Drosophila melanogaster: one gene and its partners. The protein of the gene in region 4 interacts with the protein of the main gene of each other region in a pairwise test. Each region holds a gene or a part of one and is shown on either strand. Other genes may lie near its edges.

Region 1 (4,478 bases), on a different chromosome or scaffold from region 4:
ATTCACAATTAAATTCCATTAAAAATTGTCACTTCTTTATGTTTAATACGGTTCTTGGCACGCGCTTTGAGGATTAATACTAATCTAGAAAACACTTTAATTCGCTGACTGTTTGGATTTTTTCTGTTTCTGATTTTACCCAAATCACCTAAGCAGAGGAGCCGATCGGCGAGGATGACAGCCAGCAGGTGGCCGAAGCAATGGTGCAGTTGAGTGGCGTGGGCGGCTACTATGCTCAACAGCAGCAAGGTCTTTATTATCCTTACTTCGTGTTTGTGTTGTGCCCTCGATGTCCATGTCCCCACACCTTTAATCCCATATATGATTAGGACTTTGAGTACGCTCTTTCTAATGCGTGTTTTCAAAAACATTTCAGATGAATCCATGGATGTGGACCCCAACTACGATCCCTCAGATTTCCTCGCCATGCACAAGCAGCGCCAGAGCCTCGGCGAGCCCAGCAGCTTGCAGGGTGCTTTCACCAACTTCCTATCGCACGAGCAGGATGATAATGGGCCTTACAATCCCGCCGAAGCCAGCACAAGTGCCGCTTCCGGTGCAGACTTAGGAATGGACGCTTCAATGGCCATGCAAATGGCGCCGGAAATGCCTGTCAATACCATGAACAACGGAATGGGCATCGATGATGATCTGGATATTTCGGAGAGTGACGAGGAAGACGATGGTTCTCGAGTGCGTATCAAAAAGGAGGTCTTCGACGACGGGGATTACGCCTTGCAGCACCAGCAGATGGGACAGGCAGCATCGCAGTCGCAGATATACATGGTGGATTCGTCCAACGAGCCCACGACTCTCGACTACCAGCAACCACCGCAACTGGACTTCCAACAAGTGCAGGAAATGGAGCAGTTGCAGCACCAAGTGATGCCACCAATGCAATCAGAGCAACTGCAGCAGCAACAGACGCCGCAGGGAGACAATGATTATGCCTGGACTTTTTAGTGATAGGGAATAATTGTTAGTTGTTAGAAAATAAAACGTCGATTTAATAATAGGATTGAGCTTCGCTGTGAAACAATTTTATACACTTTTTACAATGCATTGTTTTAACGGATTTTGAAATACTACAATATGTTCTCTGAAAAAATATTTCCTTTTCATGCCAATATGTTTTTAATTATACACTTTACAATTTATGAAATCTAATTCAAAATATGTTTTTAAAATATAATTTTCATAACTTTAAATAATGCCTAGAAACAAACAAGTGTCACCATTACTTTTCAAAAGACCCTGATATTTTCTGAAAAGAAATAGACCAAATACTGTGGGAAGCTAGATATAATCTTAATGAGTAGACACATTTCATTTTTCAAATATATGTTAGTAAAGGATTTACCAAAACACAATAGTTTTGGAAAAAGGAAATACTCTACAGGGACTTAATTACTTGAGCTAGGATTTTACCACTTGAACCCCTACAAAAACGCTTCGGAGCTTTGCAGTTCCAGGCCGGACTGTCAATCGTTTAATGTTTAATAGCTCGGTTCACAGTTAATGTAATAACGTAAATCTTAGCTTAGCTTGCATGTCACAGTCGTCCTCCACCCGGTGGCCTTAATCTTTCAACCGCTCCACCGGTGCGCCGTATTGCTTTGTGAATTGTCGGGTTGCACTTGAGTGAATTAGTAATGCCAATGGCCTGTGAGAGTTTCCGAAGTGCGGATCTTACAGCAATTTCAGGTGGCCGGTAACCCGGTCGATGTCGGCGGCAGCCGCTGGACCCACGGCCAGCACAGTCTTGGAGTTGGCCTCTATTTGTGTGCGACCGGCGTCGCGGATGAGACACGTGTTCAGTTGCTGTCTCTCGGCCTCCTTCTTGATGGCCATCAGCTCCGCCTCGCTCTCCACGCGAACGGCTATCTTGGCGCAACCGCAGTTCTCCCACGACCGCAGTAGTCGAGGCGTCCTGACCACCGCCCGCTGGTAAGCACCCACCGCTCCGTGGCCACACTGGGCGGCAATTTTGCCCTTGCCCATCTTGAGATCGTTGCGCACCACCAGGACCATCTTAAAGTTGTCGTTCAAGCCTCCATAGCCCTGCAATGTTTAGAAAATTAGCGTTGGTATTATATTATTATAATGTGTATGTGCTATATACTTATGTTAAAAAATCATACTTTAAACTATGTAAAGTAGGACTTTTGAAAACTTCTACCGTACAACAAAAAATGGCACTGCTATTATTGTGACCCCAAGTGTATGCGTTCAATGATGCATTTGGGTCTACAACAAGTTCAGAGTACTAGGTGGATTGGGGCCATTGAATGCCTACCGAGGGCTTTCCTTCTCACCTTATCCGAAACTGAAGCCTCGGAACCGCTAGACACCGAAGATTCCTGCGAGAACGGGGTCGCCGCTCCCTCGGTGACGGAGTCCTTGGCATCGCCTCGCTTCAGGGCGTATCGGTAGCCCACGAAAAAGGACAGCATCACAGCCAGCCCATTGATGATCTGCGTCGGATCCAGCAACTTGTCGCCCATCTTTCTCCGCTTAGTTGATATTATATTTCGCGAGAAAACACCACCGATGGCGCTCACTTCACGTTTTCGCTTGCGGTCACACCAATTGCGGAAAACGTTACTGTCAAATTGTGGTGGCAGCTCGCTTATCGATTGCTTGGTGTGGCAGCACTGTAGCGTATGGGATACTCTTTAATTTTTACCGTTAACTCAGGAATATATTTAAGAACTATTACGAACGCTATTAATTCGAATTTTTGCCACTACGATATATATTATATAATATTACTATGTATTAATAAAGGTTAAGATGCCTCTAATGTGCGCAATTGGTAAGTTATAGGAATAAAAATGGTGATTTATAGTACAGAGTGACCTTTAATCTTAGAACTTCTGAAACATTTATAAGGTAAACACGAAGACCAGAATAAAAGACTAACTTGAACCAACGCCGGGAATTAAATAATGTTTATACCCAAAAAAAAAAAAAGTCACAAAAGGCGGGAGTTTTTGGGAAACAATAGTGTGACCGAACAATAGTTGCACAAAGATCATCACGCACCCGTCACACACCGTCTGGCAACTCGGCCTAAACATACGTGTCGGAAATTTTCTGTCTTCGTGGACGAAGCCGAGAAGTTTTGTTAAGGACCTTTTCAATTGCATTTAAAAAGGCTATTTCCTCCACAAGCACCGCAATAACAGCCGCAGCCATGGGCGTAGCCAGCATGTTGCAGATTGACGAGATGCTGGGCGACTTCAACAGAATGAACAAGCGTCAGGTGAGCAGCGCCGCTTCTCCGGGCAATGCACCCATATATCATCCTGATTCGTGCCCTTTCCCTCCCGCAGTCGCTGTACCAGGTGCTGAGCTTCGCCATGATCGTCTCCTCGGCGCTGATGATCTGGAAGGGCCTGATGGTGGTCACCGGCAGCGAGTCGCCGATCGTTGTCGTGCTCAGTGGCAGCATGGAGCCGGCTTTCCACCGCGGCGACCTCCTCTTCCTCACTAACTACAAGGAGGAGCCGGTGCGCGTCGGCGAGATCGTCGTCTTCAAGGTGGAGGGCAGGGACATACCCATTGTACACCGCGTCATCAAGCTGCACGAAAAGTGAGTTTCCTGGGGCTACGGATATGGAAACCAATCCCAGAAAGCGTCTTTAAGATGAATGGGGCATGATGTCGTACTGGGTGCTTGCTGTTCAAGTAGGCATTTTAACATCTCTGATCGGTTAGGTGGAATGAGCATCATAGTTTCTAATCGCCAGGGGAAGGAACTAAATTAGTGCCACTTTTGTGTAATGCTATTTTTTTAACTATTTGAAATCCTTGTGCACATGAAATGTTATGTAAATTTGTGGACCTCCCTTAAGCTCGTTTATGAGAAGGTGCATGGAACACAGTGGCTAGTAAAAGTTTTCCTACAGCAGTGAAGGCAAAAAGGAATTACATATTTTCTAAAAGGGATTGAAAATAGCTCACATGCCGTATGGAATAGATCATTTTTTATTTTAGATACAATTTGTAGTTTTAGGACACGTCATTAAGTTAAGCTTGTGTTTCGTTGTCTTAAAACATTGTTGTTTTATATTTAGTCACGGGCCAAGATTCCTTTTTATTGTATTCTGTATGATTTCCTTTTGGTTTGGTTTGGTCCCATATAATCCCAATCAATCTTTTCTGCAGAGAGGACGGATCCGTCAAGTTCCTGACCAAGGGCGACAATAACAACGTGGACGACCGGGGCCTGTATGCACCCAACCAGCTGTGGCTGACCAAAAAGGACATTGTGGGCCGGGCCAGGGGCTTCCTGCCTTACGTGGGCATCATCACGATCTTCATGAACGAATATCCCAAGGTTAAGGTAAGTTGAAGGACGTTTGTGTTTTTTTTTCGCCACTAAGCCCGAATTTGCAACTTTTCAGTGGGCCATTCTCTCTATTTTGGCCATTTTCGTGCTGCTGCATCGGGAGTAGATGGGATCGCTCTTATTT
Region 2 (6,351 bases), on a different chromosome or scaffold from region 4:
TTCCGCTTGCACACCTGTCCAGTTGGCAGCCACACCGTCCGCGCCACATGGATGCACAGGCAGGCCGGTAGTTTAGCGAACGTAACCGATTTGGTGTGCGTGGTGGTCTCGTTGCAGGAGTCACACTTGACATCGCTCAGATCCTCCGATGTGATATACTCGCTAAGCAAGTGGCCCAAACTCAAGCCAGTTCTGCGTTGCGGCGGCAGATTTAGCGTTATGCTGTCGAACTTATCGTACCGAACGGCCGACTTGGAGCCGCAGCCATTGCACACGATCTGTGCGCCCATGGCGCCCTGAAACGGATGCGCCACTTGGCTGGGCATCATGTTGGACCAGATGGACACCCGACCTGGTCCGCGATGCAGGCGCTCTAGCGATCGACAGGAGCTGGACACCCGGCGATTCAGACCCTCATCCTGCTGCTGTTGGGATTGTGGAAGTCGCGGTCGCGACGAACGCTCGCCGCCCAACATAGGCGTAGCCAAGGAATCCGGATTGCTGACGAGCGGAAAGCCAAAGGGTGTCCCTGGCGAAACGGCATCCAGAAGCACGGATCCCAGGCGATCGTTTCCGTCGCGTTCGCAAACAGAGGCAGGCGAATCCGGTGTGTGGGCCTCGGAACGCACCAATCGCTGCAAACTGGTGCTCTCATCATACTCCATGTTTAAGAAATCAGTGAGCATGGCACTGGAGGGCCGGTTCGGTTGATCCCCGATCCTCTGGCTGGCTCCCAGTCCCGCTGCCATGGAGCTAAATGATCGAAAGCCCCCTACTGGCGTTGCTGTGCCTGCCAAGCTGCTGTTATCATCGTTATCCGTGGGCAGAGCATCCGACAGACAGCCGAGGGGCTGTGGTCGTATGGCCTCCTCCTCCAGGCAGGTCAATAGCACGTGGAACAGCTCGTGGGCGTCGTGCTCCTCCTGTGGAATCACCCAGCCCAGGGCATTCAGAGCCCGGAGAACGGCTCCCGGTGAATAGGGATCGCCGCGCAGAGTGGCATGGGTGCCATTGACCACTTCCAGAGTGTTTAACATCGACGTAATTAAGCTTTTTCGATCCGGCGAGGCGTTGTTGTACAATTGCAGCCAGGCAATGAACTGGGGACAGGCGGCCATCGCCTGTAGCAGGGTGTTTAGGAAGCAGGTCAGTCCAAAGTTGTGGAGACCGGCAATTTGGCCGCGTCGTTGACGCAAACGGGAACCTGCAAATGTTTCGCTGGAGTAGGGAACTACGCCATGGAAGATCTACTACTCACCCGAAGGACCCCAGAAAACGAAGGCTCCGACTACGGCGGCTACCGTCACTCCGGCGGCCATTAGAATCTTCTCGCTCTCCATGGCTTGAGATTTCCGATGGCTGGTTTTCCGGTGCAGATCACTGCGGTACCGGGAACTCCCAATCCCGCCGCCAAAATCGCACACAGACTAACTCTAGTTAGGAATTTAGACCGAAAAAATTTTTGTGTCTCTTGATGTGTTGCAAAGCGATTCAGTTGTTAACACCACAACGTGCGGCCATTACGCAACACTGGCGCGCAATTATCGTTAAATTTGCAGAGAAAATCAAGTATTTTAAAATTCAACCGAATCGTTGTACATGTGAATGTTTCTACTATAAGCATTAAACAAACATAAGTTTGACAGCTTAAATTTGTAAACGTAGAATATATTTCCCATACTATTGTATCGTCTATCGATAGCGACGATTTGATCAACTTTCGATAGGCACCTCGAACAGCTGTGTGGAAAGGGGATTGTAATAAAGGAAAACAAAGTAGGCACAACAACCAAAGTTTTCAATCGAAACGGAAACATTCGGATATCAGTCGTCGTTCTTAATAGTTCAGATTAGAATAAAAATCCTCCTGGAGGAGCATAATTGAGTGAAAATTAACTGCAAAATTTGTCTGTGATTGTGGAAAGTGAATCAGCTGTTTGGGAAAAGTAAAACGGAATACTCTGGAACCTTCTCGTCGTTTCTTCCTATTGTAAGTATTCGGATTGGCTTTCATCTTGTTTTAATGCAGCCACTTTGCATCGTCCTTGTGTCTATTTCCCAATTTTCCAATTTTCCCCAGCTGACTTGCTGCGCAATAGGAAAAGCAACAACAACGAAACATAAATACATACACACACATACACACACTCGCATGGACCTAATCGCTTCTGTTTTTGTTGCTACTTTATTGCGCCGTTTGTTTATGTCGTCTATTCGCTGCGTGGCCGTTGTGCAATTTGCTCCCATTTTCCACATTTAATTTTGGAATCTGTGCCACGCAGCTTGCCAAATTACATATTCTAGAAAATTTGAGAATTTTCGAAAGTGTTACATTTTATTTCCATTCAAATCTTTTGCGCCTTCTCTCCTTGTCGCACATTCATACATGCAAGCAGACGCGCACTTGTTTGCTCATTTGTGTGTGTGTGCGAGTCACGTTTAACGGGTTCCTTCCGTGTGTTTGTTTACAGTGGGTATTGGCTAATACCTATTTCGAAAATAACAATTGAAACACTATTTTTGGTTGAGAAATATGCGCACACAGCAACAGGTTATTGAAAATTGGTTATGTGTTGCAATTATAAACCTAAAAATATTTTCCTGCCAACTCTTCTATATGAAAATCGATACTAATATGAGAAACCGCATCAAGGAATATGGAAGAGTAACTTGTATCTTGCGATCACTGTATCTAAGACCCCCTTTCTTTCCCAGGCGAACTGACCCCGAGCGGAGCTTTAGCGACGACCTCGAACAAAGAACAAAGAAAGCCCGAGTGCAGTTGCCAATTGCCTTGTAATAATCACCAAGCCATATATACAACTGGCTCTAACCGGTGGTAACCAAATTCGCATTTGGTCGAAACCAGTTGCTGCAGCTGCCTAACGTCGCACTTCCGCCCGTGAGGAGACAACAAAGGACTGGAATTTGAATATGGATGCCCAGGAGAATAGGAGTGAACAGTCGGGACAATCGGGCGACCACGAAGAGCACGAGGAGCGCCGGATCCGTACGGACAGCGAGAGTTCCGTGGAAAGCATGACGCGTTTCGTGCTGCCCAGCTTGGATGGTACTCCGCCGAAAATTGTGACCCTGGACGAAGTGTCCAGCATGTTCAAGAATTTGCGCAACATGGAGCTGGCCCACGAGATAGCCCTCAATCCGGACTTCAAGCTGCAGAAGTACGAGCCGCCCTCGGATAGGTGAGCATGTGCCAGCAGCAGCCCTGTCAGGGAAACCATTCAATTAACATTCCCATGTCCACAGTTTGGAGGGCGCCATCAAGAAGATGGTGCACAAGGCCTTTTGGGATCTGCTGCGTGTGCAGCTGGACCGCCAGCCGCCATCGTATGATCAGGCCATCCGGCTGCTGGCTGAGATCAAGGAGTGCTTCCCGCAGCTGCTGTCGCCCAACAACGAACGTGCCCTGGCCCACATCAACGAGGTGCTGGATGACTCCGTCATCCGCCAGCAAGCGGAGCGGGGTACCCTGGACTTTCGAGCATATGCCAACTTTGTGATCAACATCCTGTCGCGATCCTGTTCGCCAGCTAGGGACGAAGCAGTGGCCGCTCTGCGCAAGATCGACGATGTGGTGGACACGTTTCGCTGCATTCTCGAGCTGATGACGCTGATGAAGCTGGATATGGCCAACTTTATGCTTCGACTGGCGCGCACCGAAATCGCTGCCAATTCGGTGCAGTATGAGAAGGAGAAGTTTAGCAAGTACTTGCGCGAGTTCCATGGAAATGGTGGGTTGTTGGCCAAAAAAAAAACTACAATGCCTTTATTTATTGGGAATGCCATTATTTCCAGTTGGTTTTCCGGCCACTGAGGATTGGCTGCAGCGTCACCGGTCCGGTAGCAGCGATGATGAGACCATTTACAATGCCTACATGCAGCTGATTGACTATCCGGCCGACAAGGAGTTCCCGGAGCTGTTGCGCATCGACAAAGAGCGCTTCGCCGGCCTAAGTTGGCGAGCCCAGCGCTTGATCCTGTGCGCCTCGCTCATCTCGGTGGCCCAGGGCATGCCTATCATATCGCAGCGCCGCGAGAACCGCATCAAGCTGGCCCAGCAGCTGGACATCATTGTGCAGGACATCAAGAACCAGGAGTGAGATACCTCGTGCTCTAGCCGAGCGCTGTTTTAACCCTTCTTCAACCTCAATTCACAGCCAAGTGGCCTCTACCATTGAGAGCTGCTACGAGCAGATTCGCTCCTTTGTGAACAAGGCCCTGGAGCAGGAGAACTTGCCTGCGCTGAGTGATGCCGACCAGGCGGCGCTCAAGAACCAGGTGCTTAAGCTGGCCAACAAGACGTCGCCGGTGCCCAGTTTGATGGGTGAGTTTACTCGTTTATGCAATACAATGTATTTTATATTCAATTCACGTAAATCGCTTGCAGCCAAACGATTGGATGGCTATGTGCGCGTAACACTGCGCTCCAATGGCAGCATTCCGCCGCCGCCCTCAGGATTCGCGGACTACCAAGAGGAGCTGGTTGCATTTATCGCCTCGTTCCGTCGTCTGGTGTCCTACAACCACGCCGTGTTCGGGGAGCACTTCCACCAGATACTCAACAAAACGCTGCCCGGTGAGGAAACGGAGGCTACCACTTCCACGGCCAGTGGCATAAATCCTGGCCAGGCTCAGACTGCCAAGCCTTAGGTGGATTTGTCTACCGTCTTAGGCAACACAAGATACCAGTATACAACACTCAGACACACCTGTAGGCGAACAACAGATCTGGCGGAGATCTGCATGATGTTAGGGCAACCGGAGTGGCGGATAGCATCTTCCGTGTGGAGGAGGAGGGATTCCGCATTCCGCAGCTGCTTTCCCATGTGACGTGACACTTGCGTAGAAAATTTGACGCACGCACCCGTAACCACCAAGTAGAAATGAGTACTCCAGATGCAAATCCCCCTGCAAAAAAGCCAGTGGGATCCGAGGCATCTGAAAGGAATCAAAAATGTGCTGGAGCGTCTGTGATAACAAGAATATTCAACACAAAATTCAAATTTTTGGGGGTTAAGAAAAGTGAACTCGTGAATTATGTGTGCTCCTCAATTTTCGTAATGTAAACCCCCTCTTTATAGTACATACATATATATATATATTATGATTATACACGTGTACCCTAACCCCGGACTAATCCTATATCTTAGACCTTTGTGACCGTAACTCCCATTGAATTTATTTTGATTGTTTCGATTGATTAGCAGTGTTTCGACTGAATCTTCACGAATATATCTATACCTAGTTTACCGAAATTCAAAGTAAATGAATTCAAGTGATTTCATCTTTTTGGTGCGGAAGGGAAAGGTACATCATCTAATTTGTGTGATGTGATTGGATTTTAATTTTGCGAATTAACGAGAAATTATTTAAAATATGCGACATCGCTATGAATTTGAATCTAAGAGGTTGCCAGATCGGGGTAAAATGTAGAAAGTCCGCCAGATGGCGGCACAGCATGAAATAGTTCGCTAGATGGCGTCTTGCTAACGGATTTCTATTTCGTACCAGATTCGAATTACATTTCCATTATTTAAGATTTAATTAATGATTTGGTTACCCACTGATTCCAATATAATAAATTCAGTGAAATAGGTTAAATTTTAAATATCTAACAACTGGCCTTGTCGACATTAAAGCCCATGACCTCGCCTCGCATTCATTTGCAATTTTAGTTTCGTTTTCGGTTTACATTTTCACCGATTTGCCTTCGCAATGGATTACAGTATAATTCGCTTAGCTGCATCGATAGTTAGCTGCATCGGCAAGATATCTGCATTATTTTTCCATTTTTTTGTGTGAATAGAAAATAGAAAATAGAAAAAAAAAAATTAAGTTAGCTGCATTTTTAAGTTACCTGCATCGAGGCATTGTGCAAAGTACTCGAGGCAGCTAAGCGAATTATACTGTATTTGGACTATCTATGCGCAGCAAGTGCAAAAAAGGGAATTTATGTATAAGGTATTTTACTTTGATCACAAAAATTGGAGATGGCATCGTTTCGAATTCGAGTCAACATTTTCGGGGCTAAGCCAAACGAAATCCCCATCAAAAGTGTAGCTATAATCATTACTACAGTATAATTCGCTTAGCTGCATCGATAGTTAGCTGCATCGGCAAGATATCTGCATTATTTTTCCATTTTTTTGTGTGAATAGAAAATAGAAAATAGAAAAAAAAAAATTAAGTTAGCTGCATTTTTAAGTTACCTGCATCGAGGCATTGTGCAAAGTACTCGAGGCAGCTAAGCGAATTATACTGTATATTAAACTCATTTCCGCATCTGCTTTTGGCGCTATATTATTTATAAAAAGTAATACTACCGAGTGA
Region 3 (4,203 bases), on a different chromosome or scaffold from region 4:
AAGGTGCGACAACCAGTATTGGGGGCAGTGGTGTATCCCCAGTCCCTGCACTGGCGGGACCAGTTAGCTATAGTGCCGCTCCCCAGGCGTCAGTTCACAAGGAGTTCTACAGCTTCTATGCCAACGATGACGACTTCGAGGATAAGGCTGCTCTCCAGAGGGCTCTTGCCTCGGTCAAGAAGAACATTCGCGTCATCTTCATCAAGTCGCCGGAGAACCGTGGCTACGAGAATGCCGTTTTGGCCCTGGCTAAACAGGCGGCCCAGCAGCAGACTGCCATATATGTGCTGCACAAACAGACTGATATCAACGAGCTGGCCCAGAAATTCAATGCCGTGCGCCAGAATGCCAACAAGAAGCCCGAGGTGCACTTCGTCAAGTACAGGACACCTGAGGATGCTGCCAATGCCCAGCGGGCAATCCAATCGCAGTACGATCAACTCGGCGGCTCCAGCCAGTCCATCAACGGTGGCGTGGCTAATGCCATCAACTTTGCATCCCAGGGAGCTGCTCCAGCACGCGTTACTCCTCAACAGGTGCCCCAGAGCAACTACCTACCCGCCAACATCCTGAGTCGCCTGCGTCACTAGAAAATCGATTGTTAAACGTTGTTTTCGAATAAAAGTTATCTAATTTGGTTATGTAAATTATTGTATTTTCATTTGGTTAATTCCTTTAAAAATTGACGAAAGCAACATAAGTATGCAACAGTTTTCAAAATAAATTGTATACCTATTTATAGCAGCGATAATCGAATAAAAACAGAAAGAAAGAAGAAAGAAGAAATAAAAATACTTGTTCAAAACCCAAGATCTCAGCAGCCATAAACTGGTATTAAATTTTGAATATGGTTAAAGTATAAACTAGTTCCTAAGAAATATATAAGTGCTTCTACTTATGTGCGCTTTCAAAGTTTGCAAGAAAATATTTCGCTGCAAATAAATCCGAACTTGCGAAGTTTCGTTCCCAATGAACTCAGCCTGCAAAGTTTTTTGGTTTTTACAAATGCACTACAACAAGTCAAATTGGTTTTAAAATTTAAGAATTGAATTTATTTAAGCATTAGTCAACAAAAACTACGATTTAATATCAGTCAAAAATCGCTGGCGTTTTCGATTCCGAAAGGAGTGAAACGAGCGACTTAGACGCGACGGAAGACCGAAGATGGCAGGTAGGAGTTGTCGGGGCTCTGGGCGGCGGCCTGACGCACTGGAGCGGCGGAAGCGAAGTTCAGGACGGGGGCAACACCACCGTTGTGGGCCTGGCTGGATCCTCCCAGCTGGTCGTACTGACCCTGGATGGCGCGCTGGGCGTTGGCAGCGTCCTCGGGAGTGCGGTACTTGACGAAGTGCACCTCGGGCTTGTTGTTGTTGTTGCTGCGGATGGCGTTCAGCTTGTTGGCCAGATCTCCAATATCGGCCTGCTTGTTCAGGACATAGATGGCGGTCTCCTGCTGGGCAGCCTGCTTGGCGAGGGCCAGGGCGGCGTTCTCCAGGCCACGGTTCTCGGGTCCCTTGATGAAGACAACGCGCAGGGCCTTGTTCAGGGCAGAGGACACACGCTCCAGCTGCTGGGGCTCATCGAAGTCCTGCTCGTTGGCGGTGAAGGTGAAGAACTCCTTCTCCAGCTCGGCGGTTGGGGCAGGGGCGTTGTAGGAGACGGGGGCACTGAGGGCGTCACCACCACCAATGCTTCCGATGCTGCCAATGCTTCCACCACCAATGCTGCTCAGACCACCCAGACCGGCACCGCTTCCGATGCTGGCTCCAATGGAACCACCACCAATGGATCCTCCGATGCTGCCGCCTCCGATGCTGCCGCCTCCGATGCTGCCGCCTCCGATGCTGCCTCCTCCGATGCTGCCTCCTCCGATGGAGCCACCTCCAATGCTGCCACTTCCAGGAGCAAAGGACAGTCCGGAGCTGGAGTGTCCCACGGGCTGGTAGTTGTAGCCGAGCTTATCGGCGCAGGCGACTGCCACCAAGCACATAACCTGGAGATAAAGAAAACAGCATTGTAATCCTTGGTATCCTTTTGGAGTATTTCGTCGGCGATCGAACGTATACTTACAATGAAGGCACGCATTTTGAATTTAGTTCTTTGACTTTGACCACTTGGTTGTGTCTGACGTTTGCATCACCGAAAGGTCCAATATTTATACGAAAACCAACGATCGGTGTCACTAAACTGCGCTCAAGTTCATGCAGACTTTACCATCGTTGTATTTGTTGGCTCCGCAGCATTTTTTGGTAACTTCTTCGGCAGCTTTTGTCTCTTGAAATGCTATCCACCTTCGAAAAACGAAGCTTGTGCGATAAAACAATGGCCAAGCCGACGTGAACAAAGCGCATCGATACCTGGCCGCCCTATTCTTGCAAATGTTGGCGTCGACATTATGCTAATTCCACGATCCCTCAGTCCAAGTCGTAGTACCATCATCGAAAATTTTTAGGCACACGACCCTACCCGTCAAGTTGTAATCCAATAGAGCAGGCTCTCGGCGGAGGAAACGGCTGAAAACTCGTTTAGCAAAAGCCACTACTATAAATGGTCATGCTTTCAGTAAATGAAATGATTTTCTTCATATTTTGTATGCTAAAACATTTAGCGGAGCATCCAAACGAGTTCGAAAACGACTCGGTTTTTCTACACTTTTTAGTTGATCCAGCCGCATATTTCTAGCTGGGAATCCCCAGCGATTATTGCGTCCCCCTTTGGTATTTGGAATATTGTATATGGTATATGGTATGGTATGGTGTATGGTGTATGGTGTATGGAACTGGCTGCTCTAGGGTTTGGCCATATAAAACCCGAACACTGGACTGTGGACTGTGGTAGGGTTGAAAAACAATGGATCTGAAATGGATAGAAATCAATTTTCGCCAGCCTTTTTGCGCATCCATTCATTCATCCGTCCATCTATCCGACGGCCCATCTGTCCATTTGTCCGGAGCTCGTCGCTTGGCCATTTAACCTGTGGCAAAAACACGGCTTCGCAAAATAGAAGCCATAAAGCTAACAACCGTTGCGACCTTGAGGTTTTTTACTGTTGACCAGCACCCGAAGCTATTCGGAATTCGGCGGTAATCAGCTGGCGCCAGGCGACCATTTAATCTGATCAGCGATTATCACGTTTTTCATCATGGTTTATTGATATCATAAAAATTATGGTTTTTTATTTTATTTCGGCAAAGTTTTCGAGCAGAAGGGGGGTAGAGGCAGCAGCAAATCCGCTGAAAACTGATTTGATTTGCATAATTTAGGAGAAATACCCAAGATCCATATTTAAGATAGCCGAACCGATTTGCAAATCAATAGTGGCGAATGCCAATCGCGGTTATGACTAATATATATATTGATTGATATCACGGATAACTATAGCGATGAGTAACTCGAAGATGGGGTCAGTTAGGAAATCCGCTAAGACATCACAACCATGATATCATTTTCAGTGACGGACACACACAAGTTCTATATGGTTCTATATCTAATGATGCTATATGATGCCCCCCATTCCACGCTGGCCGGGATCCAATTAAGATTCACATTCGAAGCAATAACCTAAAGTCAAAAACAATTTGTCTTGGCTTTGTGTGCGGCCCCACCTTTTGCCCACTGCCAACTGTTGCGGCTCGCCGATTGGCCAGCATCTCAGCCAAGTTAGTCGCTGGTGGCAATGTCATATGCAAACTAATCAAATGTAAGCATAATAAAACAACCCAGCCACAATTTCAAGGTCTCGGGCGCCACACGCACATAAAAGATGCACGCAGCAGCGACATAAAAAGTGGTCAAAACGCGGGAAAAGAGTTTCCAGCACGAAATCGAAGATAATAGCGGTCGGACGACGTTGGCGTATCAATAAATAAATAAAAAAAAAACGGCTCAAGCGGACAAAAAACATCTACGGGAGGGAATTTCTGGCACCACTTTATGTAAATGGCCTTTTGGGTCAATCGATCTATTTACAAAATCTGACACTGTTTATTATTTTATCCATTATTTTTAGTCTTTCTCTCTTCGAGACAACAAGACTGCCCCTATATTATTTTATTGCCATTGTACTGGCACCCACCAGAATGTCGAAACGAATAAAATTGTGCATTTAATTTATTCGGCTATCACCTGGCTGGTGTCAAAACCGGGCGGTGCCTTTCAGGTGCAAAAATCCAATCAAATCTGTCGCCTCACCATAAATTGGAG
Region 4 (5,685 bases):
GCTCTCGAAGGATTCCCAGTTACTGGACTCGGTCAATCCAGTTATTAAGATGGATCAAGGCCTAAACAAAGATGCGGCAGGCAAACCCACCACCGGCAAGATACACAAGCTGAAAAACGTGGAGACCATTCATGTCAAGCAACTGGCCACGCACGAGTTGTCCGTGGAGCAGCAGTTGTACTACAAGGAGATCACCGAGGCGTGCGTGGGATCTGATGAGCCGCGGCGCGGGGAAGCGCTGCAGTCGCTGGGATCCGATCCTGGCCTGCACGAAATGCTTCCCCGCATGTGCACCTTCATTGCCGAGGGAGTTAAGGTCAATGTGGTTCAGAACAACTTGGCGTTGCTTATTTACCTCATGCGCATGGTTCGTGCGCTTCTGGATAATCCTTCGCTGTTTCTGGAGAAATACGTAAGAAATTTCTTATTGTATTGTTCTTTGTTTCTCATAAAAACGATGTTGTCTCCGCATAGCTCCACGAACTGATACCCTCGGTGATGACGTGCATTGTGTCCAAACAGCTGTGTATGCGCCCCGAGCTGGACAATCACTGGGCCCTGCGAGACTTTGCCTCCCGACTGATGGCTCAAATCTGCAAGAACTTCAATACCCTAACCAACAATCTGCAAACCCGTGTCACCCGGTAAATCACATCCACTTAAATTAAATAACCTTTTAACATCCATTTCCCAACCTTCAGCATCTTCAGCAAGGCCCTGCAGAACGACAAGACCCACCTGTCCTCGCTTTACGGCTCTATTGCGGGTCTCTCGGAGCTGGGGGGCGAAGTCATAAAGGTTTTCATCATACCCCGCCTTAAGTTCATATCGGAGCGCATTGAACCTCACCTGCTCGGCACCTCCATCAGCAACACTGACAAGACAGCAGCAGGTCACATCCGCGCCATGCTTCAGAAGTGCTGTCCCCCGATTCTCAGGCAAATGCGCTCAGCGCCAGATACAGCGGAGGACTACAAGAACGACTTTGGCTTCCTGGGGCCGTCGCTGTGCCAGGCAGTAGTCAAAGTTCGAAATGCGCCCGCCTCAAGCATTGTAACCCTGTCATCCAACACTATCAACACGGCACCCATCACGAGTGCAGCACAAACAGCAACAACCATCGGACGAGTGTCCATGCCCACCACACAGAGACAGGGGTAAATAACACTTTTAAGCATAAAATAAAATTCCAGCCAAGCATTTGATTCCTAATGGAAACCATGTTGACATGTCTTTTTATGCCCATTACTAAGCGGTTAAATATTCTTTTGTTTTAGAAGTCCCGGAGTCTCGTCCCTGCCGCAAATAAGAGCCATTCAGGCCAACCAGCCGGCGCAAAAGTTTGTGATAGTCACCCAGAACTCGCCGCAGCAGGGCCAGGCGAAGGTGGTGCGGCGTGGCAGCTCTCCGCACAGCGTGGTCCTCTCCGCGGCCTCCAACGCTGCCAGTGCCTCCAATTCGAACTCAAGCTCGAGCGGCAGTCTACTAGCGGCTGCACAGCGGAGCAGCGATAATGTGTGTGTTATTGCCGGTAGCGAAGCGCCAGCAGTTGATGGTATAACAGTTCAATCTTTCAGAGCATCCTAGACGCCAACTCGCTGATCATTGAGACGGAGATTGTGCGCGCACCGCCCGAGCTGGACGATCTCTCGCACCTGGAGTAGCCAGCTTAGTTCGTAGTCCACATTTTGTCATATTGTATGCAATAAAATAAAAAATGCGGGTTCCTACCCCAAAAAAATGTAACCACACAAATAGGAAGAATATTAAATCATTATTTTCACACGTTTTGTGTAAAATGGATTTAGTTCTTCTTAGCAAGCAAAAAAAAAAACATTATTTAAGGATTTCCCATAGAAATATTAAGCTACAGTTCTGTAAATAACGAACTGTTGAAATCAACTGACTGCTCTCCCACCCCACAAATCGAAAGCTTGCCCACGCAGTCAGCACGCATGTGCGGGTATGGGCCCCCAAGTGGCTTGCTATTGATTTCTCCAGCGCATTGCTGGGTGAACGCACAAAGAGCTCTGCTCAGCACTCCTTGTAGATACCCATCGCAGGACAAAGGCAAAGCTCGAAACGCTTCTGGCAGCATTTTCAAAGGATAAAAAGGAATTCTCACAAAAACCCAGGAAAGATGCATGCCAGATTTGCGGATCCCGAGCCAGCGTCTCCGGACAGCGTTGATGGAATCGAAACGGAGTCACTGGAGGCGCGGATTGAGGCCTTCAAGCAAAATCCCCAGAACATGGCCGCGTTGCGGGAGGCGCTCGACGATGTGCTCCTGCGGGCTGAGACGGAGGCGAACAGGCGGGCAGTTGAGAGCCAGAAATCGCAACAGGTTGACCACACATATCTAATATTCGTTTTCGAGCTAACTGAACTAACTTGTAACTTCCCTTGCAGGGCAAGGAAAAACGACCGAGTAAGTATACGCAGTGTGGTTCAGTACATTTCACTTCTTAGCTATTTGGATAGTGTATTGCTTTTCCCTTTCGAGCACTTCAGCGCAAACCCTTGCCAAGTGCTGGCCGCTGAATAGACACTTGTGCACAAATCCTTTTCTTAGTCTTGCTTAAGTATTTTTGTATCGATGACTTTCGTGGCAATGAACTCGCTTGACACCTAAGAGTGCCTAGGCTAAAAGTTGGTGGATGAGGTCTAAATCTCAAATATTGCAAATATTTAGGAAAGTATAATCTTCGTGCTGAAATTAAGAGAACTGTCGCGTAATGTTGTAACTTGTTTGATAAAAGTGGGCTGACCTAACTAACTGATGACAGGGCGACCGTTGTGGGCCTCCTCCACGGTTGTTAACAGATGGCAATTAAAACTGAGGAAAGCATATAATTTAGAATATATAAACGCATTCGCACGCCATTTTCACCCATTTTCCAAAAAACCCAGCCAGCTCGATTGCATGACCATATTTTGTTGCACTTAACTTGTATTTTGCGTATCACTGATCTTTATTTCCGTATTTTTGTACTCTCTGCGCCTCGCATGCACTAACCTCTCAGGTTTCGCCATACCAGATTTTAAGAACGGCAAGGTGGTGAATCGCGCTCGAGGATTCGTGGTGCGGATCTTCGATGCCATATGCAATTGCGCCAACAACAATGCGGCGGCGGCCACGACGCGTTTCAAGCTGAGAAGCAACAGCGGCGGAGGGGGAGGCGGCGGAGGTGGTGGTGGCGGAGCCAGCGGAAATGGCAAGCGTCAGCAGTCGCAGAATGAGCCGGAAACCCTAGTCCTGACCAAGAAGAAGCCCGCCGGCGAAGGCAAGAAAAAGAAGGGAGTCAGCATGGCCGATGACGTTCAAGCCGGCGTTCGACTGATGGACTAAGCTAGCTATAATGGACAATGGTTGTCCATGCAATGGGAAAACATAATCAAAATTACCACCAACCCCTTCCTGAACAATGAACTCTTACTCAGCAATCGTCTACTGTCATCTTACCACCTTAATGGATCCTGTCCAGAAGCATTTTCTTCGCTCAAACGTCTTAGGCACAAACCAAATTCTACGTCTTCCCCTTGAAGACCACCAAGTTTATGGTGTAAGCCCTGCAAAGGAATCTTAAAATCGCATAGAACAGGGCTGATGGAAAAGCTTTAGCTCTCTACTATATTGTTTGATATACCCAAATGTGATCCCAGATCGTAATGTTAACGAAAACTCAACTCGAAGCACAAGCAACTCTTCTAGGCTAGTTATGAAAGGAGAAAACCCCTATATACGACATTTGTATACACTCTCCAGCTCTCAGACATTATTTGGTCCCCACGCACAACACAATCAACGGCATTACACAATCCCAGTGGAATCGACGAGGGTTTGCCCCGAATCTCCACCTAATTATAACTACGATATATCAAATTATATACCTAACTATATGTGTATGTGTATGACTATAGTTGTCTACGGAACCACCAACCTATTTAGATGTGTGTGTGTAGCAGTTAAAAGTATTTCCAAACCAAACCAAAGCAGCTAACAACAAACGGTTCAATATACAAGCATTAATGTGTACTGATTTTATATACAATGTACTAACTACTATATATACGTGTGAATGTCATTAGACTCTTAGTTGTTTACACAGGTTTCCTCGAACATCCTCATCAAATTCATCAACTAATCCGCACACACGCTCTAATCGGATATATTTTTGTGAGACCCTTTTTGGAGAGATCTACATACATATATAAAGACACTACTCCTATACCGAAACCGAAATTTAAGATATCGATTACTCTCGATTACAGAGAACTTTGTACGCAGATTTGCAAGGCAACCATTTTGTATAAGATTTGCATTTATTTTGTAACCTCTTGAATGCAAAGATCTCCCTAAGTTTGAATGCATTGCTAAGCCAATTGGATGTTTATCGATTACAAAATGTATAAGTATGCGTTATGCAAACATAAAACCGTTGTATTTAGTTAATAATATCAGCAATAAACTATAACATGTTTGAAATCAATGCGGCGTGTTTATATTTTGGGGTGCCATTTTAATCTACAAAAAGGTTTTCAAATATATGATTAAAGATTGTTTTCAAAAAAAAAGATTTGCTTATCGAATTCAGTCGATTGCGGGTATATACATAATCGAAAAATTAATTTAAACAAAATGTTCTTTGTTACTTTGACAATATATAATTTCAGTTTTGATTCAATCAGAATTGGACGACTTTGTCATATAGGCATACGAATAGTCGGAAAATAGAGTTTCGAATGAAATAATATAACACAAACTACAGTTTCGTCGTTTTTAATCATAAATTGATGTTATTCTGTATACATAAGTTGTCTTTAATATATAAATTTTGGTTTCAATTTAATCAACATCATATTACTGCAAGGGTATATAAGTATATACTTCGGCTTTTTGAAGCTAACTTCCTTTCTTGTCATAATTTATGTTTTACGAATTCCAATTCTATTTGATGATTTCAACATAGATAATAAAGCAATCATCCAAGGATTGGTCATTAAAGGATGAACCAGTATGAATTTAGTTTCCAGAAACATTTTTAAGGCCACATGAACTGCCCATCGGCGTTTTCAGAGAAGCACTTGGCCGTCTGGTAGACCCTCTCGCAAGATTCCTTAAATTGTTTATCTGCAAAGATATACCTTACATATATTTACAGCTATGAAAGGTAAGTGTGGGTGTAGTTACGCGTATCCCGACAAGCTTCAACGGATTTCCTGGACATCTCCATCATTTCCGGGGGAACCAGATGCGGAAGTTGGGCCAGCGCCTTGGGAGCGTTGAACTCCCCCTTTTTGTTCACAGTGCCCGCCATCAAAGACACACACTTTGTGTAGCACTAAAAGGATAAAGGATTCAAACACTGGTGCCTGCAAAATGAAAGCGGCATTCACCATAAGATCCTGCGATGGCGGAAAGTTGAAATCACCCACGCGAAGCCGATCGAGATCTTCTGTTTTGAGCTTAAACTTCGGCGCACAGCCACTGCGGATCATGTCTAGCGAGGTCAAGAACTGCTCCATCGTCATGGCAACTGCAGGATCGGGTAGCAGGAGTACCAGCACTTGCAGGACGATCGCGAAAACAGCGGAAGAGCGTCGTTTCCAATGCTTCATGGTGGCGGAAAGCTAAATACGTTGAGTAACCATGTCGTAGGAGAGTTTTATAGGTGATCATGGTGG

What was found.
Region 1: the proteins of CG9368 (region 4) and CG1307 interact in a two-hybrid assay, tested with the Drosophila melanogaster proteins (one large-scale study listed by BioGRID).
Region 2: the proteins of CG9368 (region 4) and CG16721 interact in a two-hybrid assay, tested with the Drosophila melanogaster proteins (one large-scale study listed by BioGRID).
Region 3: the proteins of CG9368 (region 4) and TwdlM interact in a two-hybrid assay, tested with the Drosophila melanogaster proteins (one large-scale study listed by BioGRID).

The regions. Positions count from the first base shown.
Region 1 is NT_033777.3:6,654,833-6,659,310, forward strand, and holds CG1307 (uncharacterized protein), read right to left. Parts: upstream 2,611-4,478; 5' UTR 2,505-2,610; coding exon 2,316-2,504; intron 2,062-2,315; coding exon 1,690-2,061; 3' UTR 1,198-1,689; downstream 1-1,197. Other genes in the region: Taf1 (TBP-associated factor 1), read left to right, coding at 157-249, 377-963; twr (twisted bristles roughened eye), read left to right, coding at 3,197-3,265, 3,336-3,595, 4,171-4,348, 4,410-4,460. UniProt on the Drosophila melanogaster protein: The natural substrate for this enzyme may be peptidyl-tRNAs which drop off the ribosome during protein synthesis.
Region 2 is NC_004354.4:5,878,119-5,884,469, forward strand, and holds CG16721 (uncharacterized protein), read left to right. Parts: upstream 1-1,750; 5' UTR 1,751-1,990; intron 1,991-2,415; exon of another isoform or gene 2,416-2,551; intron 2,552-2,700; exon of another isoform or gene 2,701-2,715; 5' UTR 2,716-2,934; coding exon 2,935-3,203; intron 3,204-3,267; coding exon 3,268-3,752; intron 3,753-3,816; coding exon 3,817-4,117; intron 4,118-4,178; coding exon 4,179-4,345; intron 4,346-4,361; exon of another isoform or gene 4,362-4,408; coding exon 4,409-4,671; 3' UTR 4,672-5,273; downstream 5,274-6,351. Other genes in the region: Usp30 (ubiquitin specific protease 30), read right to left, coding at 1-1,204, 1,259-1,340.
Region 3 is NT_033777.3:26,617,049-26,621,251, reverse strand, and holds TwdlM (TweedleM), read right to left. Parts: upstream 2,135-4,203; 5' UTR 2,086-2,134; coding exon 2,071-2,085; intron 1,994-2,070; coding exon 1,142-1,993; 3' UTR 1,028-1,141; downstream 1-1,027. Other genes in the region: TwdlP (TweedleP), read left to right, coding at 1-590.
Region 4 is NT_037436.4:19,599,633-19,605,317, forward strand, and holds CG9368 (uncharacterized protein), read left to right. Parts: upstream 1-2,000; 5' UTR 2,001-2,140; coding exon 2,141-2,344; intron 2,345-2,409; coding exon 2,410-2,428; coding exon of another isoform or gene 2,429-2,469; exon of another isoform or gene 2,470-3,023; coding exon 3,024-3,349; 3' UTR 3,350-4,488; downstream 4,489-5,685. Other genes in the region: Taf6 (TBP-associated factor 6), read left to right, coding at 1-412, 475-644, 702-1,157, 1,278-1,587; lush, read right to left, coding at 5,043-5,131, 5,192-5,342, 5,398-5,619.